4 linked regions of the Arabidopsis thaliana genome follow. The protein of the gene in region 4 interacts with the protein of the main gene of each other region in a pairwise test. Each region holds a gene or a part of one and is shown on either strand. Other genes may lie near its edges.

Region 1 (6,482 bases), about 23 Mb from region 4:
AATGGATTAGAACAAGAACAATCGTGGATAGTTTTACGCCTAAATGGAATGAGCAGTACACATGGGAAGTGTTTGACACCTGCACTGTCATAACTTTTGGAGCATTCGACAACGGACACATTCCAGGCGGAAGCGGAAAAGACTTGAGAATCGGGAAAGTGAGAATCCGGCTCTCTACCCTTGAAGCTGACCGTATCTACACTCATTCATATCCGCTACTCGTCTTTCATCCTTCTGGGATCAAGAAGACAGGTGAAATACAGTTAGCTGTGCGGTTCACTTGCCTATCTCTCATCAACATGCTTCATATGTATTCTCAGCCATTACTACCCAAAATGCATTACATCCATCCGTTATCGGTTCTCCAGCTGGACAGCCTGAGACACCAGGCGATGAACATTGTCTCGGCAAGGCTGAACCGCGCAGAGCCGCCTCTTCGCAAAGAGATTGTGGAGTACATGCTCGATGTTGACTCCCATATGTGGAGCATGAGGAGGAGTAAAGCTAACTTCTTCAGAATCATGAATGTTCTGAGTGGTCTCATTGCTGTTGGAAAATGGTTTGATCAGATCTGCAACTGGAGAAACCCAATAACCACAATTCTCATTCATGTTCTTTTCATTATCTTAGTTCTTTACCCGGAATTAATCCTCCCAACGGTTTTCTTGTACCTTTTCTTGATTGGGATCTGGAATTTCCGGTGGAGACCAAGGCACCCGCCACACATGGACACACGGTTGTCCCATGCAGACGCTGTTCACCCCGACGAGCTTGATGAAGAGTTTGATACTTTCCCGACTTCCCGATCCTCTGAGATTGTGCGGATGCGATATGACCGGCTCAGAAGCATAGGAGGACGGGTTCAGACCGTGATAGGCGATCTAGCAACACAGGGAGAGCGGTTTTTATCGCTGCTGAGCTGGAGAGACCCGAGGGCAACCACATTGTTTGTGCTTTTCTGTCTCATAGCTGCTATCGTGTTGTATGTTACGCCGTTTCAGGTTGTTGCACTTCTTGCTGGGATCTATGTGCTGAGGCATCCAAGGTTCAGGCACAAGCTACCCTCTGTGCCGCTCAATCTCTTCAGGAGGCTACCTGCAAGATCTGACAGTCTATTATAGATAAATTTATCTGCATCAGCTTTTGTAAAACGTTTGTTGGATTTAAAAAAACTTTGGGTTTAATGCTTAATTCGGTCTTTTCAATGGAATTTTAGTTATATTGATTGCAACATCATAAGACGGTCAAGAAATCCAAATACATATATCCATCAAACTCAAAATCTTTGGTTGGGTTTCTGTTTCTCATCTGTAATTCTGTTTCCAACTAACTTTTTTTGTCCAATGAATAACAGTTTCTGCCCAGACTATAAGGGTTCGATTTAATTCACAAACATATGAGCCAACCCTTGAGGTGCTCTCCCGCCAACGTTAACGTTGTGGAGCAGTTGCTGCAGCCATTGCATTGCAGGTGGGTCATCCTGCCAAATTAAGTGAGACGATTAGCTAAAAACAGTCAAGTCTCAAGTATCAAAAGAATTGAGTCGTGATAACAATAAACTGATAGATAACAATTTGGTATCAGAATCACTAATAATTGGTTATGATGCTATCAAGAGATATGACACTTACATAGAGACAACCACTGAAAGTAGCATCCCTCAGAAGATCTGGAAGGCAACTTCCAAGTGCATCGCATGCTCTGAATGTCATCAGTAACTGTATTGTGTAAGCACGAGTGTATAATATGGTTTTCAAATGAAGGAAAATGGATAATTATTGCACCTGGGGTTATCTGTCAAGCGAAGATAGCAGCGTATGATGTGCTTTAGTAGCCTAGCGGACGGTCCTTCTGCAAGTGAAGTAACCATATTTCCCAAAACCCGACCCAGAGCAAAGAATCTCTCCGCTGTCGTGCACATGTACTCAAGCCCAACATCGTCCAGCAAAACTTTCTGAACAATGAAAGTAGCAACCTGACATAACCGTTCAAATAAATCAATCAGATGAACTGTACATGACCAAAACCAATCAGAAACATCAATTGCAGAAGAAAACTTATACAAGTTCTTTGTATGAAGCAAAGATTTCAGATATTTGCAACTGGCTGTATAAATGATAGGAAACTTGATATACATTTTTCAAGCATGTGAATCTAAAGAGAAGCATCTGAAGATAGACAAACTTACAGTCTTTGATAACTCGCTGCCATTCTCCATTGTCCGGAGGCACAATGGGACAATCTCAGTTTGAAGAAGGAATCTGATCACTTCAGTATCATCAACCTACCAAACCAAATGAACGATGTTGCAAGACCAATATCACTAATGATGTCTTAACAGGATCTACTCAAAGGTCTTAGCATGCTAAAATCGTTGTTTCTCAAATCACCAAAATATTTATTTACAGCCAAACAGTTGTTAGCATGTAAAAGAAGTGTTCCTGCCTTTTTGGCATAAACATACTAAATAACTAGACGAGGAAACAAAACTCAAATATCAATACATACCTTAACAAGTGCACCAATAACCCCCAAGCTAGTCAGCCGCAGGTACTCAAACGGTCTTGATTTGCTTGATGTATTCAAGAAAGCATACAGGTACAATGGCAGATGGGCTGTATTTTGAAAAGCAACAGACTTTAAACTTTAAGCATATTATAGCCAAACACACATCTAATAAATGAGATCAATCAGAAAGAGACCAACAAGGTGGCTCTTAAAACTAGTTTTGGTAGACGGGTTGGGTATTCAACTAATGCAATCTATCTCTATAACTTTAGTCACAGAGCAAACACCGAAATTATTTGAATGAGAACTAAGGAAGAATTGTTCGGGCACAGGACTGTACCTTTTAGGAACAACATTCTCGTATCAGTATGAGAAGCAACACACTGGATGTACGAAAAAAGAGTCGAATCAATAAAAAATAGAGTCTTCCAAATTGAACATACATATATAAACGTTTGTAAGTCTCCCTAAAAAAGAAAGAGGAAACTGACAATATTTTATGCACCTGAAGAAGAGCAAGTGCATTGCACACCCTGTTAGATTGAGCAGGAGTCATGGTTGGAGGAGATAGGGCAGGGTAAACTGCGATAATCTCCTGAAAAGAGGAAAGAAAGAAAATGACTAGATCTTAACCAATACAATGTACATCAAATCTCAAAAGTTAAAATGCTAAAACTATAACAGTATATAGAGAAGCCAGAAATCAATAAATAAATTCCCCTGAAGAATAAAGGAACAAGTGCCATATAATAACATGGAGGAGAGGGTACCTGTAGAAGAGCAGGAATGGTACCAACAGAATGCCATAAAAGCGGAGCCAAATCTTGAAAGATCTCTCTCTTCTGAAATAATGAAACACGGGATTAGACATGAATTTCAGTGAGAAGAACTTCTTAATGTATGAAATCAAAAGCAATGAGTACAGTAAACATCAAAACCATTTGATTTTTTAATTGTCCAGACGTTTAACTTCAGTGAAGAATCCTCATACCAACTTAAATTGCTCACCAATCGAGATCAACGCCTTAATCAGTGTTGAACTATTTCGATTATTTAATTTCATCCCCTATTCATGCAGGTTTACAATCTCAACAATAATCGTACAAATTCCCTCAAAATTTGCGGCAAGGAAGAATTAGGAGTCGGTAATCTAAAAGCATGTCTACGATTCACCGGACTAAACAACCAAATACATTCGAAATTCCATTCAATAGAACGCAGAAAACGAAAACCCAAACGATCAAAAATTCGCGAGTAAGAGAATTCGGTGAGAGAGAGATGACCTTAGACAACTCGTGAAGTGCATTTTCTCTGAGTTCGGGATTGCTGAGATCGAGAATTAACTGCTCCGCCGATGATAGCTTCCGATCGTTGTTGGAGGAAGAAGAAGGAGAAGAAGCTCCTGAGAGGGCGACAGATTTCATGGAGAGCGGAGGAGGAAGATTAGCCATTAGAGCCCCGTCACCGTTTACACGCGCCGCAGAGAGAATCGCTACTTGTGACAGTGAAAGGAGGAGATGTATTTATAGGACCTAAGGGGGGCGTGTATGTCACGTGCCTCGCTTGCTCCGTTACGGGATTTGTTCAAATCTAAATCTCACGTGACTTGTGAAAAAAAAAAAAAAACTCTCACGTGACTCTCCCGTGCCTCACACAACTTAAGATTCTGAAAGATAGATTATAAGATTTACATGATTCACATTATGACTTAGCTAATGTAGAAGACAATAAAAAAACATAGGTATTTTGATATCAACAAGCCAAAAAAACACACACTATATCTACTTTGTTTGTGGCGCCAAAATAAACTGATTTAATATCTTTATTTATTGCGGTACAATAAATAGTTTAACCGTATATCCTTTTATTTTTGTTTAACATGAATTTGTCGTGTCACTCGGTGTAACATGCAAGGGGAATATGTGGCTCCAAAACTCAACAAGTAGTGGTCGATTGGCTACCGAAACTAATTAAGGTCAATGCAATAATTTTATTGACAAACAATCTAGCATCAACAAATCTATATACAGTCACAAAATTAGAACTAGATACACCATATTGTCCTTATAAAGAAAATATATCTTACCGTTTTAAAACTAAAATCAGACAAAATTCTAGTACAAAACCTTAGACAACCAATCTACCACTTCACATCCAAAAGATCGGTTTTCCCAAGTTTCTTCTAGAAACAAATGTCACAGAATAATTAATTGTGATTTGATACCAACTTAAAACACTCTAAACCCAAAATTTATATATACAATTGATGTCACGAATGCTTCCGACTTCATCTTGAGAACTAACTCATCACAAAAATTGAATTGGAAGTTGTTACGCTTTGGCATCTTTCCAAAGCATCCACAAAATCTTGGCTGAAGTAATTGAAATACTCTATAGTAAATAACGAAGTTAATCATTTTCAACCTGAAATAGAAATTTAACATTCGGATAAACAAAACTCAAAACTAGAATGTGAAAAGCATTACAAACTAATATGTCAACAATGGGAAACAGAAGATACAGAAAAAAGATATAAGGAATGAATCTATGGAGTAAAAGGAATGTGTTTATGATGAAGAGGGTCGGATCCAGTTGGAACTTGTCTTTCTTCAACTTCATTAGCTGTTCCTCCATCAATCTTCTTCTCCTGTTTTCAGTACCAAAACAAAAAATTAATCATCTTTGCATCAAAATCATATAGAAAAATACAAACGAATATCAAATGCAAAGAGCTAGCTAGAAAACAAAAAGTTTCATACTTTTTATTGTAAAAATAAGAAACGAATTGTTCATTTCCTTCAAAACAGTCGCGTTGTGTTTCTAGGAAGAGATTTTCTTACCTTTTTCATGGCTTTCGTATCTTGTGTTTCTCCTAACCAAAAGAAGGCTAGAAACAAAAAGAACAAAGAGGATTGATTCATCATGTTTTGAACCCAAACGATGAATAAAGATGAGAATATTATTAAACATATCACATGACACTTACATTTTGTAGAAGAAGAGTGAGCAAGTAGTGAGGACGAAAGAAGAAGGATGACTAATATGATAAAAACGCTTCCTTTGTATTTCATCGCCGCCATTTCAAAAACCTCTTTGTGGTAAGAGTCTCGACAAGAGTGACGAGAGGTGTGTCGTCGTCTAATAAGGTGAAAGTTCCGGGTTTTAACCTCGTTTTACAGCTTTGTTGGGGCCAAATCCGTCATTTTGGTTGTTCTTTTTGGGATGAGATTTAAGCTGTACGGACACAGATTACCGTTTACAGGCTGGCTCGAACCAAGACAAATTATCATTCTCGTACAAATGTCGTGGTGCCACGTATCGCCGCCACGTCTCCGCTTATTTGTCGAACCAAACATTGTCACAACTTCCCGCCATTTTTTAAGTTGTCTTTCAACGAAGCAGAGGAAACTAGGGCTAATCCTTCTTAGAAGATCGTGGGCTTTCCTTATCGGCCCATTAATGAACCCAGTTGGTAACTAGGGAATTTTTGAAAGCTTTGTTGTCGCTGTATCTTATAGGCCAAGCAAAAGTTGTTAGTAAGTTCCTTATCTTCCTCGACATGGACCAATGGAGGTCTTCAACTAAATAATTAAACAGTCATTAAATGATAGATAACGTCTAATTTATAGATGAATACTACAATGTTTTTACCTAAGCGATATATTGAAAACTAAATTACATTAACCCTAATCATCCATGAAGATAAAAAAGGGATAAATTAAGATCCCTTCCCTGTCATTACAATGAAGAGATGAATCATTCCTTGTTTCGAGAAGAGCGATCCTTACGATGACCTCCAAGGATACGAGAGATCTGAAGACCTCTACTGAAAGCTTGATTAAAGAGCATACGCGTTTGGAACTCTGACACAAATGGAAACCATGCCAAGAACGCCACTGGCGTGAACAGCAACAGTCCCATTACTATCTCGTATCCACGAGCTAGGGTCCTCACTGATCCCCAGAATCCTGCTC
Region 2 (4,788 bases), on a different chromosome or scaffold from region 4:
ACCTACTGGTGGGAAAGCTTCCAAGATCTTTGATCCGTTTCTCTAATCTTGAAGTTTTGAACGTGGAAAGCAACAGAATCAACGACACGTTTCCGTTCTGGTTGAGTTCTCTGTCGAAGTTACAAGTTCTTGTATTACGCTCCAATGCATTCCATGGACCAATACATGAAGCCACATTCCCTGAGTTGCGAATCATTGACATATCACATAATCACTTCAATGGAACTTTGCCAACAGAGTACTTTGTGAAGTGGAGTGCTATGTCATCACTTGGAAAAAACGAAGACCAGTCTAACGAAAAGTACATGGGATCAGGCCTTTACTACCAAGATTCAATGGTTTTGATGAATAAAGGTTTAGCGATGGAGCTGGTACGTATTCTAACAATCTACACAGCACTCGACTTTTCCGGAAACAAATTTGAAGGAGAGATTCCAAAGTCCATTGGTCTATTGAAAGAGCTTCTCGTGCTCAACTTGTCAAACAATGCTTTTGGTGGCCACATCCCATCATCTATGGGGAACCTGACAGCTCTCGAGTCATTGGACGTTTCCCAGAACAAGCTTACAGGAGAGATTCCACAAGAGCTAGGGGACCTTTCGTTCCTTGCGTATATGAACTTCTCTCATAACCAGCTTGCAGGCCTAGTACCAGGAGGTACGCAGTTTCGAAGGCAAAATTGCTCTGCCTTTGAGAATAACCTGGGACTTTTTGGCCCTTCTCTTGACGAAGTCTGCAGAGATAAACATACGCCAGCATCACAACAGAATGAAACGACAGAAACAGAGGAAGAAGACGAAGAAGAGATAAGCTGGATAGCAGCCGCAATAGGATTCATACCTGGAATTGTCTTTGGATTAACGATTGGATACATATTGGTTTCCTACAAACCAGAGTGGTTCATGAACCCTTTTGGCCGAAACAATCGTCGACGCAGAAACACCACCACCCACTAGAGAGGTAATGTTCCGACTTTTGAACGAGTTTGGTAGCTTTCCATCAGAATGAATTTTATTTCTGTTTTAACAACTTATTTTCGTTGTTATAGGCTTATAACCTATCTGAATAATCTGGAAGAGGAAAGTCAAAGTAACCGGACGAACTCCTTGACGTTAACCAACCACTCTTTTAGCCATTTTCAAATCCAGATTGTTTCCGGTTTAGCTTGTGTTTTTCTCTTCTACTCTGTTTTTAGCCAACTTTGTAATTGAACAACTCTGTTTTTCGCTCTTTAGATGTACATGTAAAGTTGTTTTTTCCCGCGAGTTTGTTGTTATCATTTCTTTCCCCATTGCACTCTCGTATCTAAAAATGTATGTCTATTTGTTCGTATCAATTAAGACGCAGAAATACAGAGCAATTATAGAATTGGGGAATATTTGATCAAAAAGCCATTTTTACTGTATTTTGATAAACTAAACCTTATACATGGATATATTTGAAGTCAGTTGTGTCTGGTTCTTTATTAGACATTTATCTGCTATTTTGCAGCAGCAAGCTGTTTCATTCTCGACATTTTCAAGTAGTTTATACGAGAATGGAGAAGTGTGTTTTGATGATGAGTTTTTGGGTTTTTGGTAATGGCTTAAGGAAAGGGAGTGATTATATGCTAAGCTCTGTGAACTACTAGAAAAGTTTAGGTAAGCCTATGGGATTATAATCCATAGTGGAAAAGGAATGGAAAGCATTACATATTACGATTTAATTTATGAAATGACAAGATAAGAAGATTTAATTAAGTAAATGACAATTCTTTTTAAGTTGCTACTAGCAATTTCTTTAAACCATTACTTGTTTGTATATTTATACTCATTCACAAAGGTTAAGAGATAACAATATTATCGTTTTGTGTACTCATTATAAAGGTTAAAAGATTTAAGGTCCTTAAGATTTATGAATATTTGATTTAACAAAAGAAATTTTAAGTTTTGAGTTAAGTTTTTCTTGTTATTGGTATAAATTCACAACCAAAATGAATGATGAGTAGAAGAGGAAGCCAAAGAAAGAAGAGAAAATGGATAGTGAAGGGGACGGTGGTGATGGTGGTGGGCTTCTCATTCTCTCACTTTTCTTGTCAAATGTCTTGTCTTCTCCATTTCCACACTCCAATTTTTATATGCTACCTGTGATTTTATTTATTTTATTATTTGACTTTCTTTTGCTTAAGCTATGTATAATCTACAATAAGAACCACAAAAAGTGATATAAGCTCAGTTCTATATTGGTGCCCACTTTGTAAGAAATTTCCTCTTCAATTTGGAGCAAAGTGAAAGCTATTTTGTATTTTGCTTGATTGACTTGTTTCCACTAATCCAAAAGTCTTGCTTCTCTTGTTTCTTCTTCTATAAAAGAGAAAATTAGCTGATGTGTTGTTACTTTAACTCTCTCTATCTCTATAGTACCTTTGATTTTTCAATATATGATTATGATTTATGGACTCGAACTCACGACCAATCATGTAATTAGCAAGGAAAAGCTCAAAGCCAACACAAATGATGAATAGGCCCATGCCTTGTCCCATTTGTTTCCTTCTCTCTATTACTTTCAAAAACACTCTTCTTCACAAAAAGTTAAAAGACTCTTATCAATATATAAAGGAAGCACGAGATAAAACTTAGAAAAAACGAGAGCCTAACATTTACCACCAAAAAATCAAAACAAACAAACAAAAAGTTTGAGATGAGAGGGCATGAGCCACGATCAAGCTCATCTTGTGCAGCCTGCAAGCTCTTGAAGAGACGATGCACACCCACTTGCATTTTCGCTCCTTATTTCCGCTCAAGTGACTTGATAACTTTCGCCAAAGTCCATAAAGTCTTTGGAGCCAGCAACGTCAGTAAGCTTCTCGGTGAAGTTCCTGAAGAACAGAGACAAGAAACCGTTAACTCCTTGGCTTATGAAGCTGAGGTTCGTCTCAAGGATCCTGTTTACGGTTGCATTGGAGCCATAGCGTCTCTGCAGAAGAAGATGCTCGAGCTTCAACACGATCTAGCTGTTGCTCGCACTCGACTACTTGCCCATTCTGGGGTCAACAACAGCCAAGTGTCCCCTTTGGATGATTCTCCTGAGCTTGCTGCTTTTCTTGATCTTGTACCTTATAGTGACTTGATGTTGCTTGATGGGTCTACTAATCTTGATGCTTACTTGTATGATCTTGGACAGCCTCCTTTTGTATAGGCCTTATCTCTCTATCATATATCTCTTTATCAGCTGTATTTGCACTTTGCTTTACAAGTTATCTTTGACAATCTAAAGTCTGTCCCTAATGTATGAATTCCAGTATGCATAATCAGATGCTTACTTCATCATATGTATGAAAAAGGGTTTTAACTTCAAAAGTAACCATCACATGCGATGAGATAACTCAGGTACAAGATGAGCCTTGGAAGGTCAGAGTCCTTACCAGTTTTGGACCAAGTGGTAGGCCAAGGTGAGTAAAGTGAGGTGTTTTAGATGAAGAGCTTCTTTGTAAGTCAGGTATGAATAGGAGAGCACATGCTTATGTCATCCCGAAATTCTACCAAACATGAAACATTGATATATATGCTTCTATGATGTTCTTTTTTGAGGCTCCAATAATACAGCCTCATGTGTCAACTCGTCTCCCTCAGGCCACAAGAGTCTTGTCCTGGAGATTCCAGAGTGCAGCAAAGTCACATAAGCAAACATCCAAATCAATAGCTTGGTGGGTTTGATCAAATTCCAAACTGAATTATGAATGACTCTGATAAGAGTTCTCCTCAGAACCGTTCTACGCATCTTGTTAAGTCTGTACACATTCCTGAAACCTGCCTAAGCAAAAGAGTAATTGCAGATCACAGAAAGAGAGATGAGCACAATTTGGAACTGCAGACACTGATACACAAACCATCATACATTGATACTTCACAAAAGTACATCTTGATATGTCAGATACTATGAGAGTTCTTTTGGTAATTCGCATTGCTACTACCAATGTAACTCTACAATGCTAAAAAAGAGAATGAAAAAGAAGAAGAAGAAAAAAAGCATCGCGCTATAACTTAAGAAAACCTAAAGATCAATAATAATAACATCTTCTCCAAATCGTATGAGCTTTAGATCCAACCATTGCTCCTTGCTTCACATCAGTAACTCCTCCACAATCTACAATCCTACAACTTCTTACCTATACAACAAACAAAGCACAACTGAAGTTTCAGTAAACTCATCAATCACAACAAAACACACATAAAAATGAAAACTTTACCTGAAGCAGCTCTTCGTTTCCCAAGTTTAGATTTCTCAAGCTCCAATTGCATCTCCATCAACATATTCATTCGTTGTAACTCAAGCTCCTTTGCAACTTCCATTCTCTGTTTCTCCAATTCAATCATCATCTGTTGCTTCTTCCCCTCGATTCTCTCAAACGCTTCCCCTAACTTCAGAATCGATCTCGCTAGCTCCCTAAAGGCTGATCCTTCACTCGAATCTACATCTTCAACTTTACGATGCTTCCTCACCACAAATCCCCAATCACCCGCATCATCATCATCTTCTTCGTCGTCATCATCATCATCATCATCGTCATCGAGAGAGCTACCAGTTGATTTAGATCCAGTAGGATTCAAATTAGGGTTCATCAACGCCGATTTAACAACAGCACCGGACGATTTCTTCATAACCGGACCGATTAAGAAATCGAGTCTATCAAAGAAGCACCAATTCGATAAAGGTTTCGCCTTTTCAGTTTTGTACTTCTTCTTCAACGTATCGATCCGGTTTTTGCACTGTACATCGGTCTTTGGCCGGCCATTCCCGTGGCTTGAA
Region 3 (5,868 bases), on a different chromosome or scaffold from region 4:
TGAGATTTGTGAATCAATTCACTTATTGCCATTTATTATTGAATTAAAATGTCATAAGATATAATGTAATTTGTAACACGTTTGATATGAATATTCATGTTTTCAGATCTGACAGTGAGAAGTAGGGGTGGGTATAATACAGAACCCGATTACCCGATCCGAACCCGATCCAAAAAACCATATTCAAAACCAACCCAAAATTTATGAATACCCGAACGAGTTCTAAACTTCTAAATCCTAAAACCCGAACCCAATCCGAACCCGAACAGATATTCGAACATATCCACAATTTAAATACATATTATATATATATATATATACGAGTGGCCCATTTTGAACAGGAACATGAATTTGATATTAACTCAAAGATAATCACTATGCAAGAAGAAAGGTCAAACATAAACCCTTGTGACCTTGAAGATGTGAGCAAAAATTCATGTGAAGACCACGCTTGAGGAAAATTCAAGTGATCGAGATGTTGCTAATTCTTGTTCTTTTGCAACCTTAGAATCAGGGACAGAGAGTGTACAAACACTTAGAATGAGTCTAGAATCAGGGACAGAGAGACCCATAAGACATGCTTCTCAACATTTCTGGTGCATTAAACGCTTTTGTTGTTGCTTATTAACCTTTTTTTTGTTAAAATTGTTGCTTATTAACCTTGGTAAACAATGCATGCATCAAAAAATGAAGTTGATATTCAGCTTGATCTGAAGAGTGTTCTTTACTCAAGGTGTTGTAAGAATCATCATAAACTTAATAGTTAGAACTAGGGTTGGTTTAGCTTATCTATTGTGTGTTATTTTCTTGAGTATATTTGTGAAGAATTACATCCAACCTATCAATTGGCTACTTATGTAAAAAGTACTCAAGGTTTATGAATGGGTTAAGGAAGCTAGATACTTACAAGGTCTCTTTTTTACGATTTTACGTGGAAGGTTGATTGCAACAAATTTCATAGTTTAATTCTTTTGTTTATCAACCTACAAATGAATATTCGATGTAATTCAACATGCTACTATTTCGTGTCTCCATTGCTCGGCGAGTAATTATGGTTAAACTAGTGGGGTTCTCCTTAATTGTGTCAGAATTAGATGATTCATAGAGTCTATTTCAAGGCATATATAACTATTTTTAGCCTGAAAAATGAAAGATCCAAAAGTGTTGAATCTATCAACAGAATCCGTTAAGCTCTCTCTCATCTGTCTTTTCTTTTAGTAAAATTTTCTGTCTTCTCACGACGTCCTGTTTTGTTTAAACTGTTACAAGATTTCACTTGCTTAGGCTTCCTTTTAGAATCTATGTGTTGATCTTGATTCTTCTTCTCCATTAGTTTTTGGCTTAAAGATCATCAAGGTTTCAATAAAGAATGGATCGTGGAGAATTGAGTAGAGTGTTCCAAATGTTCGATAAGAATGGAGACGGGAAGATTGCGAAAAACGAGCTGAAAGACTTCTTTAAAAGCGTGGGAATCATGGTCCCTGAAAATGAAATCAATGAGATGATAGCAAAGATGGATGTGAATGGAGACGGGGCCATGGATATCGATGAGTTTGGATCATTGTATCAAGAAATGGTGGAAGAGAAAGAGGAAGAAGAGGACATGAGAGAAGCCTTTAGAGTATTTGATCAGAATGGTGATGGGTTCATTACAGATGAAGAGCTGAGGTCGGTGCTCGCGTCAATGGGGTTGAAGCAAGGGAGAACACTTGAAGATTGCAAGAAGATGATAAGTAAGGTTGATGTTGATGGAGATGGTATGGTTAATTTTAAGGAGTTCAAACAAATGATGAGAGGTGGTGGATTTGCTGCTCTTAGCTCCAATTAAACATTCCCTTTTTTTAACAATAATTTTTGTATAGATAATTGTATGTTTTGAATTTGCCTAATTAACACTAGTTTTCTGCTAAAATAATTGAATGTTCAATGCTAGGACAAACTATGATCTAAGGAGGAGCAATCTTCGGTATTTTTCGACAAATGCTTATAGATGAATCAAGCTCTTGTTTGTATTTGACATTCAAGTTTCTTAACATTCTCCACAATATCTCGAACTTTAAGTGACAATTCTTCCGTATAATGTTCAACATTATCGATAAAACTCACCAATCGATCCCGATACACATCGCATAATCGGTCCTGACACTCGATCTCCTCCGTAAGCTCTTTAATCTTCCTTTCCTTATCAGCCTACAAAAATAGTAACACAAATCTCTCTGCATCAATCATCCAATTCTTGTAATATCAAAGCAAAAAGACCAAAAAGATGCAAACTTGGAAGACGTACAAAGGAAAATCAAGTAACCAAGTCTTGTAATAGCAAATTAAGACCCAAAGATGCAAAAAAAAAAAAAAAAATGTAACATAAACCTCACTTTCTTCAAGCAACCAAGTCTTTGTAATAGCAAATCAAGATGACCCAAAGATGCAATATATGAAGACGTACAAAGGAATTTCAAGTGTTTGTAATGGCAAATCAAGTAACCAAATCTTGCAATAGCAAAACAAGAGACAAAGCTGCAGAAACACAGTAACAAAAATCTCTCTTTTTCAACCACCGAAGTCTTGTAATAGCAAAACAAGACCCAAAGAATCAAAATTTGACGACTCAAAGATGCAAAAAACAATAACACAAATCTCTCTTCATCAACCAACCAAGTCATGTAATAGCAAATAAAAAAGACCCAAAGATGCACACTCTTTCTTCAACACATCAAGCCTTGTAGTAGCAAACAAGAACCAAAGATGCAAAAAACAGTAACACAAATCTGTCTTCTTCAAGCATCCAAGTCATGTAATAGCAAAGCAAATCAAAAAGACCCAAAGATACAAACTTTGAAAACGTACAAAAGAATCATAAGAAGAAGACCCAATGAATTGAAGAGAGTGATTGTGTTCTTTGATGAATCTAGTAACAACCCATTTCCCAGATTTCTCCATTTTCACCAAAATCGTAGCTTTGCAACCTTCTCGTGAACTAGAACTAGAACTAGATGATCGTTGATTATTAGGACCAAAGCCTTGCTTGTTACAACCTAATCTTCTCGCTAGTGTTCTTCCATCAATACCTGATCTTCGTCTCTGCATCATACGCACAACAAACCCTAATCTTTTGGAGTATTCTACATAGAAATCTTTAGCTTCTTCTTCTGATTCGAATTTCAAACCTACGTAAGGTTCATCAAGTTTCAGATCTCCGGTCATCATCGGAATAAGCCAGATCCAACTCACAAAACAAAACCCTTTATGGATCGAGTTCGTTAAGTTTCAGATCAAGCTCTGTTAATCCGGTATGTTTGATTCACGAAATTAATCCGGTTCTATTTTCCTAAAACTTAATCCGGTTCGATTTTTCTGAACATTAAACCGGTTTAATGTATCTTACGAACCGGTTTAATGTATCTTACATTGCTCCTCATATACCTTAATCCAAATTTTATTTTCTTCTTCAATGTAGATGTAAATGAATAACTTTATCCTATAAAGATAAATTTGACCCTAAAACAATTTGTATAATTTTCCGAGTGAAAAGAAAATTATTTGTTATATTATTCACCCTAATTTTCTTAGATCTTTTCTCTTGTAACAAATCTAAGCAAAAGCTGGTCACATGGACATCGCATCATACGTTACTTATATAAAGTGGAGAAATGCATAGCAAAACAATACACGTGCGAACCTTTAATGACATTTGGTCACTCATTTTAAGCCATAAAAACCTTCTTTTGCGACGATTCCTACACGCAAATTTCGATTTCGAATTTAGTAAAATATCACTTTTGTTTAAAACGGTTGACTTGTTGACCTTCTTACAGTAATTGCTTTCATACCCAATTTTATTTTATTTTCCTATTCGAAGCTAACTTTAAGGAACTAAAGTAGTAGTTATAATTTTGTAAAATAACCAATTCTGACAAAAATAAGGTATTCTAACACTATGACTCTACACTTTACTTATTTGATTTTAAAGAAAGAGCTTCGCTATATTTAGACCACTGTTCTTGAAAAATGAACAAGAAACCCAAGATTTTGAGCTCTGTAAGCTTTTTTCTCTTGCTCTTCGTTCTTTTCTTCTTGTCTTGTTTAGTTCTTTTTGTTTGTCTCCCATTTTGCCATTTCTGGATTCAAAAGTTGTCGAAATAAACCAAAAAAGTTCTGAAATTTCATTAGCTCAAGAATCCAATTGAAGTTTTCAATCATGAAATTTCAAGTCTTTTATCTTCTTCATGTGTTGATGTTCTACTTATATGCCCATTCTCTACGAAACTGTGGATCGTTATGAGTTTACACAATTAAAACTCTCAAGTCTTTCACAATCTTGAATCTTTATTGTGGCATTGTTGTTCAATGAGATCATACTACTTTCCCTATTAATGTCATTTTGTGTGTGTTTGGGTTTAAATACTGATTAGGTTCTTGTGATTTGAGTTTAATGTGTTATGGATCTTCTTTATTCGTTGCCTTTTCAGGGATCATTAAGTATGAATCAAAAACGAAAGGGCTTGTCTCTTCGTCGCTTGTTCTCTTTAGTGTTTTTTCTTGCAATGATCTTCCTTATAGGGAATGCTTTTATTACAGTAGACTATAAAGAGGTATGAGTTCTTAGACTGCAACTTTTAAGCATTATCTTGAATCTGAATAATGTTATAGAACAGTTTTGAGTGTACTAATTGACAGGGTATCGCGGGATGGAGTTCGATAATTAGACTAAATCTTGCTAAACTAAAGATGTGCAAGGTCTGTTGAATAAGCTGCTCAAAACAAAGTTCCCTTTCTATATGAATCTTAACATTTTTTCATGTTGCTTTGCTTAATTAGACACAACTTAGGCCTCCTGGTAGCGAGACGTTACCGCGAGGTATTGTTGCAAGTACATCTGACTTGGAAATGCGACCGTTATGGGGAGCAAAGCGCGATAAGGTATCTTTACCTGTTGCCAAACGTTCACAAGTTTCTCTGTTGTCATTCCTTTAACGCTATATTTTCTGTTTTTGTTTGCTTAGAAACCGAAACCAAGCTTATTAGCTATGGCAGTTGGAATAAGACAAAAGGAAAGTGTCAACAAGATTGTCAAGAAGGTAAAACCTCGGACATTACCTTCTCGGTAATGAAACAGTTTTGATGTGATATCTCTGTTTTTCCACTTTCTTATATGGCAGTTTCCATCAAGTGAGTTTGTTGTGATGCTGTTTCACTACGATGGTGCTGTGGATGAATGGAAGGAGTTTGAGTGGAGTGACACTGCCATTCATATTTCTGTAGTAAACCAAACCAAATGGTAACTGTTCTGTTATAATCGTAAAACCCGACGAGGATTTTTTACATTTGGCTGTACAGTTTGAATATGTTTGTGACTCTTTTAGGTGGTTTGCAAAGCGTTTTCTACACCCGGATATTGTCTCAGCTTATTCTTACATTTTTCTATGGGATGAAGATCTCGGTGTTGACCATTTTGATGCTAGAAGGTACAATGTTATACAAAGAATATATTGTTTGTCACTTGGTAAAGATGTGGTATCTAATGAGATGAAAATTTTCAGGTATGTTTCAATTATTAAAGAAGAAAAGCTTGAAATATCACAACCTGCTCTTGATCCCAATTTCTCTGAAGTGCATCATCAACTTACCTCACGAGACAAGAAATCAAGAGTACATAGGTACTTCTCTCAAGCTCCAATAGAAAAAATTTTAGCAAAGAGAAGAAAAGAGATTGTAAGAATGAATCTTTTTACAACGTTTTGATGTTTAAAAGGAGAACATACAAAGTCATTGGTCGGGCGAGGTGCAACGAGAATAGCACTGGACCTCCTTGCACAGGGTAAAAGAACTGAATCTTCATTTCCTTCTTCAGTGGAAAGCATAACTTGT
Region 4 (5,039 bases):
ATCTTCACAGACACAGGGACAACTCTCCTGAACCTATAATCATGGATAAAGAAATGTTCTTTAACCCATATCCAAATTCCAAAAATCAGTAACAAGTATGCCACAATACAAAGATTACTCATTCAAACACCCACATCAGAATCTTCCTTCTTATTGTAATTCATGGTTTCTCTGTAACATTAATCCTTTTTTGAGGCATTGTGTAGGAAACACTAGAGCTGAGACTACATAAACCTAAGAGTGACAAAACCTAACACTAACCAGCATGAAAGATTCCAAATTTCAAGGTTAAACCCAAAATTAAATCACCAATATACCCTGAAACCTATACTCTTCGAATAAATACCGAAATCAAGAAAGGATAAACAGGAAAACAAAATCTGCAATTTTTGCACCAAACCCAGAAGCAATTTCGAAGTAGGAGATTGAGAAACGAGAAACCCACAATCCTCTGTAGACAGTAGATGATGAACCTTCGCCGATGAAGTCCCCTATAGATATGTCTTTGACATCGACAAGCAACTCTGTGTTGATAGTGAAAGCGAATTGATCGTTGGAGGAGTCGGAGTCGTCGTCTTCGTCGTCCGATTCAAAGGACTTGAGACCATGAGAGGACATGAGAAATGGGTAATTCGGATGAAGCGTCTTATCCGTCGGATAATCTGTTGGTTTCTGCATTGACGGAGCTCGTTGATACCCGCGAGGTCTCATTTCTGGAGTGAGCGATGAAGACGACGCTGAGTAAAAAGTGTGACGCTCTATATTTATACACCCGAAATGTTTGGGGTGTTTCTGTTAACTCTATAAAATAAGAGGGCTTTTCTGAAAAAGTAATATTTTTCAAAAAGGGCTCTCGATGTGGAACTGGAGGGAAAATAAGGAAAGACTTTATTATAATATCGTCTACGAAATAACAAATTCAAACATATTTCATTTCTATTCTTTTTTTTTGTAATATGCGTCTGTAATATAGATAAACTTATATATGAAGATTGTTGACCAATATAAAGATTTATGAAGGAAGAAACTATAATAATTGTGGTAGGTTTTGTTCTGATAATGATTAATTTGATAAATTAACATGAATGTATTAGTAGATTACATAAATTTATCTTAGTCCTTTAAATATCTAGATCTAATAAATTCGTTCTACCTCCATCTTTAATAACAACTTAATCTGGTTGACAATTAAGGAACTTTATCTATACAGGATTTTTAATAAATTCTTGAATAAGCTATTTGAGTAATGAAATCAAGAGTTTCTATGTCGGCTGGATATAAATAACAACTGTTTGGTAACTAATTAATTGTATACTGAACATTAATAATATCTTATGATAAATGAGCAAATATCAATATATGTTACCTTTTTTTTTTTTGAAAGATTTATATATATGGAACTAGAAGAAGCAAAGTGATAATAAACAAAGTAATATATTAAAATAAATACTGAAAACAACACATAATTACAACCGTTTCACCAACACCTATTTCTACATTACTTATAATAACATGAGTTGCATCAATAAAGCACGAGATATTTAGTTGATAAACTGATTATACATACAAACCATCCCAATACTCCATGCTTTGTAAATAATTATTATCTAACATATAAAACGGGATGTTATAATTAGTTTCCGGGGCAAGCTCGAAATCAGTTGGTGCATTGTTGGCTTCAACAGAAAGCGATGAACTTGAACTGTTGGTTGGCATTTCTTCAAGTCGTTCCGACAGTTTTCGAATTTCACTTTGAGCTTCACTCAATTGTTCTGTTAGTTTCAATATCTACAACAGCAAAAAAATACATCATTAGTTAATACCATAGTTAATCACTATGTGAAGAAGAAAATCTTATATAAAACTCTTATTTAGTACCTAGATAAACAAAAATAAGAGTAATTTTGTTAACCAAAAAAAAAAGATATATTTTACTACCAATTCAGTGAAATAAATAGTGTTTTAATACAATGCAAAGTTAATGTCAAAAGAAAAAAATTGTTATAAATTAATTTTGTTATTCATCAAATGAGGAGGATATTTTCTGGCATGTCAGCCCAAATGCAGAGAAGGGTTTTTTACGTGGCATTAAATGAGTGGGCAACTGTAAATGGGCCACTCATGAGCCCAACTGAGATTGTACGGACGGAACTTTTTTTTTTTTTTTAATGGTGGATAAGAATGAGATGACGAAATATCCCACTTTATTATATTTGTGGTGTGGTCCCAAACATGTGTTTTTTAGCTAGCTACCGGATTTTCACTAGTTGTAAAATTCGATTCAACTACATTTCACATATGTGTAATAAATACTCAAAATATACTAATTGACGAATAAACTATATGTTAATTATCTAAGAACGGATAAAATTACTCATCTTTCGAAAAAACAAGCAACATGAAATTAAGAATCACCAAATTTACTCTGTTTTATAGTGAAAAAACATAAAATTTATACCTGAGACTCGAGTTGGCATTGGCCGAGTACGACGTTGTCGTGGTGGTTTTTGAGTTTGGCGTACTCTTCCTCTAGTTTCTTGTTCTTCCAACGTGCACGGCGGTTCTGGAACCAAACAGCCACCTGTCTCGGGTCAAGACCTAACTCTCCGGCGATCTTCTCCTTCCTCCCTGACTCCAGCTTATGCTCGTTCCCGAAGCTATATTCGAGCATGTTCACTTGTTCATCGGTCAACTTCCTCTTCCTCAACATCCCTCCGATCTCCGCCACGTCTTCTTCGTTGGTGGCTGATGAACCTTTACTCCTCCTCTTCCTCCTCCGCTTCACCGGTTTTGATTCTTCGCCTCCATCGATCTGGTTAACGATGATGCAGTGTGAATTTTGGGGTTGGGTCGTGTAGGGGTACACTTGAGAGCCTAGCATCATTTGATCATCCATTAACCTACCATGATCCATTTTCTCTCTCTAGTTTTTCAGACAAGAGTTGCTGTTTTCTCTGACTGTGTTTAAAGGAGAGTGATGCAATAGGATATGACTTTGGTGAGGTTGAGTCCTATGAGATGCTTTTTATAACCTCAACGACTGTGACCCCTTATTCTTGGGTCGTCTTTCCCTTTATTTACACTTATGCCATCTGTTTTTATGTAAAAAGATGTAATTGAATAAAGAATCATTAATTGTGTGGTATGCATGTATGAGACGAATTGGATATACATATACTTTTCTATTTTTATGTTTAATGGGATGTACTTACCCTAAATGAGAGAATACACTTGCATGGTTACATTTCTTCCAGATATACTTGTTCTCTAGATTTTTGCACAATGTACAAACGTAGTTAAAAGTGGAGAAACATTTTGTTTCACTTGATCCAAATTATGAAATAATTTATCCAACAAGAAAACATGTATCTGTTTTGTTAAGGCAAGATATATTTGATGGAAATTTTTGGATGTTTAAAATTTTCATTTTAACTTTATATAAAAGAAATGTTTGTTGGTTATGTTTCAAAATATTTAAGAGCTTCATTCTTTTTGATCAGATATTTTTAAGAACTTCATGTAACGAAAACATTGTCGCATCCCATCAGAATAAGTAAACATAAAAATAAGGTGGCTGACGACAATTCTGGACAAGAGACGTGGTGTGGATCCCGAAGATGACCAAATTTTGGAGGAAGTAGTAAACAAGCGATCCGATCATTTGTGGATAACTATTGGGTATATATGTATAATATAACATAAACTGTCTTTGTCTTTGGTTATTTTAGTTTTTACTGTTAATTAGTCAATTTTGTAGGTTATTTTTTCTTTGTTTTCGGAGCTCGAGACCACTCATTTTCCTTTGAAAAGCAGTGTGCTCCTCTTTTTCCCATCTTTCCTATAGATTATTATTTTACACCAGTGACTAGGAGTCTATAACCACGAATCTTCCCGAGTTTTCTTTCTTTATATTTAAACATTGTACTCTATTTTGTCGTCTTCAACAGTGTTATAATATTCCACACCATGCGATTAATTGAACATAGCCTGCTTTAATTTACTTTGTACGTATACGAAACATATTTTTAAACCCTTCTCTTTGTACCATTTTAACGAAATTTCTTCAGCCATAGATTATCATGTAATGTGTTGACACAAGACAACTTACGTATCATCGACGTTGCAGGTCTTTGAGATTAAGGTCCTATTTTGGTGTATGAGAATTATATATACGTCTGTTATAGTTGAACTAGTATTTCTTGATCAAGGAGGAAGTTAAGGTTCCGAGTTTGAGACACAACAACGGGAGGATAAAGATTGGCCATAAGGAGCAAAGACATAAACGCTTTCATGCCTTCATTACTTCGTACCAAAAACCTTAAATTATATTCCTTACAATTTGTTTAGTACATTTAAGGGAATGAATAATGTGGTGGAATAATTAAAGATTGGCCACAAGCAGCAAATACATTAAAGCTTTCACACCTTCGCTCACATGAATTTGGAATGCATGTTTAAAGAAAAATTTAAAACACCACACTTGCACAAAATAACCAATAAAATGAGTTGAACACATGTTATGTTAATAATTCTATTATGTTTGTTCAACATGTTTTGGTCAATCTCTTCTATCATAACCATATATTGCTTTCGTTTTTAGCATCATGTTCTGCACTATCCTTTATCACCATTCGAACACTAAAATTATATTAAATTTGTGGAAGGCTTAATTAGTAGAAGGGTACGTGGTTTTTTACAATGCCTTGCTTTCGATTTGTAAGGTGTTCAACCCTAGCTTCTAAAGGAGAAAAAAACATATATACAGAATTGACACGACTGATTGGTTTAAAATAGTATATGATAAAATATAGCAGTCAACACTTTTCATCTTAAAAAACGGTCACTTGATACATAAGGTTATAGTGTGCCTTTTTAGGTGAGTAAAAGAGAGATAGTAATGTGTGGGCAACGAACACGAATCATGGGAAGGTATATAATTAGGAAGAACTAAATAATTCACAGAAGAAGAAAAATAAAAACAATGTATTCCGACATTGAGTGACGGCTATGCACGTGAAGTTCACGTGGACTTCAAAGAG

The links.
Region 1: the proteins of HB53 (region 4) and AT5G12980 interact in a two-hybrid assay, tested with the Arabidopsis thaliana proteins (one large-scale study listed by BioGRID).
Region 2: the proteins of HB53 (region 4) and LBD21 interact in a two-hybrid assay, tested with the Arabidopsis thaliana proteins (one large-scale study listed by BioGRID).
Region 3: the proteins of HB53 (region 4) and AT4G12850 interact in a two-hybrid assay, tested with the Arabidopsis thaliana proteins (one large-scale study listed by BioGRID).

Annotation. Positions count from the first base shown.
Region 1 is NC_003076.8:4,104,181-4,110,662, forward strand, and holds AT5G12980 (Cell differentiation, Rcd1-like protein), read right to left. Parts: upstream 4,053-6,482; 5' UTR 3,960-4,052; coding exon 3,792-3,959; intron 3,351-3,791; coding exon 3,279-3,350; intron 3,104-3,278; coding exon 3,014-3,103; intron 2,892-3,013; coding exon 2,849-2,891; intron 2,616-2,848; coding exon 2,509-2,615; intron 2,285-2,508; coding exon 2,189-2,284; intron 1,976-2,188; coding exon 1,785-1,975; intron 1,702-1,784; coding exon 1,632-1,701; intron 1,481-1,631; coding exon 1,382-1,480; 3' UTR 1,203-1,381; downstream 1-1,202. Other genes in the region: AT5G12970 (Calcium-dependent lipid-binding (CaLB domain) plant phosphoribosyltransferase family protein), read left to right, coding at 1-1,121; CLE40 (CLAVATA3/ESR-RELATED 40), read right to left, coding at 5,054-5,155, 5,349-5,395, 5,495-5,588; GSL12 (glucan synthase-like 12), read right to left, coding at 6,265-6,482.
Region 2 is NC_003074.8:3,472,357-3,477,144, forward strand, and holds LBD21 (LOB domain-containing protein 21), read left to right. Parts: upstream 1-2,565; 5' UTR 2,566-2,679; coding exon 2,680-3,177; 3' UTR 3,178-3,492; downstream 3,493-4,788. Other genes in the region: RLP35 (receptor like protein 35), read left to right, coding at 1-956; AT3G11100 (sequence-specific DNA binding transcription factor), read right to left, coding at 4,134-4,147, 4,229-4,788.
Region 3 is NC_003075.7:7,534,404-7,540,271, reverse strand, and holds AT4G12850 (Far-red impaired responsive (FAR1) family protein), read right to left. Parts: upstream 3,299-5,868; 5' UTR 3,208-3,298; coding exon 2,848-3,207; coding exon of another isoform or gene 2,791-2,847; exon of another isoform or gene 2,191-2,790; coding exon 1,996-2,190; 3' UTR 1,829-1,995; coding exon of another isoform or gene 1,370-1,828; 3' UTR 1,224-1,369; downstream 1-1,223. Other genes in the region: UNE14 (EF hand calcium-binding protein family), read left to right, coding at 1,370-1,828; AT4G12840 (GTPase Der (DUF707)), read left to right, coding at 4,009-4,038, 4,470-4,592, 4,678-4,737, 4,819-4,920, 5,004-5,078, 5,160-5,278, 5,364-5,465, 5,541-5,657 and 1 more.
Region 4 is NC_003076.8:26,632,281-26,637,319, reverse strand, and holds HB53 (homeobox 53), read right to left. Parts: upstream 3,046-5,039; 5' UTR 2,915-3,045; coding exon 2,459-2,914; intron 1,789-2,458; coding exon 1,558-1,788; 3' UTR 1,435-1,557; downstream 1-1,434. Other genes in the region: AT5G66710 (Protein kinase superfamily protein), read right to left, coding at 1-33, 446-711. UniProt on the Arabidopsis thaliana protein: Probable transcription factor that may play a regulatory role in auxin/cytokinin signaling during root development.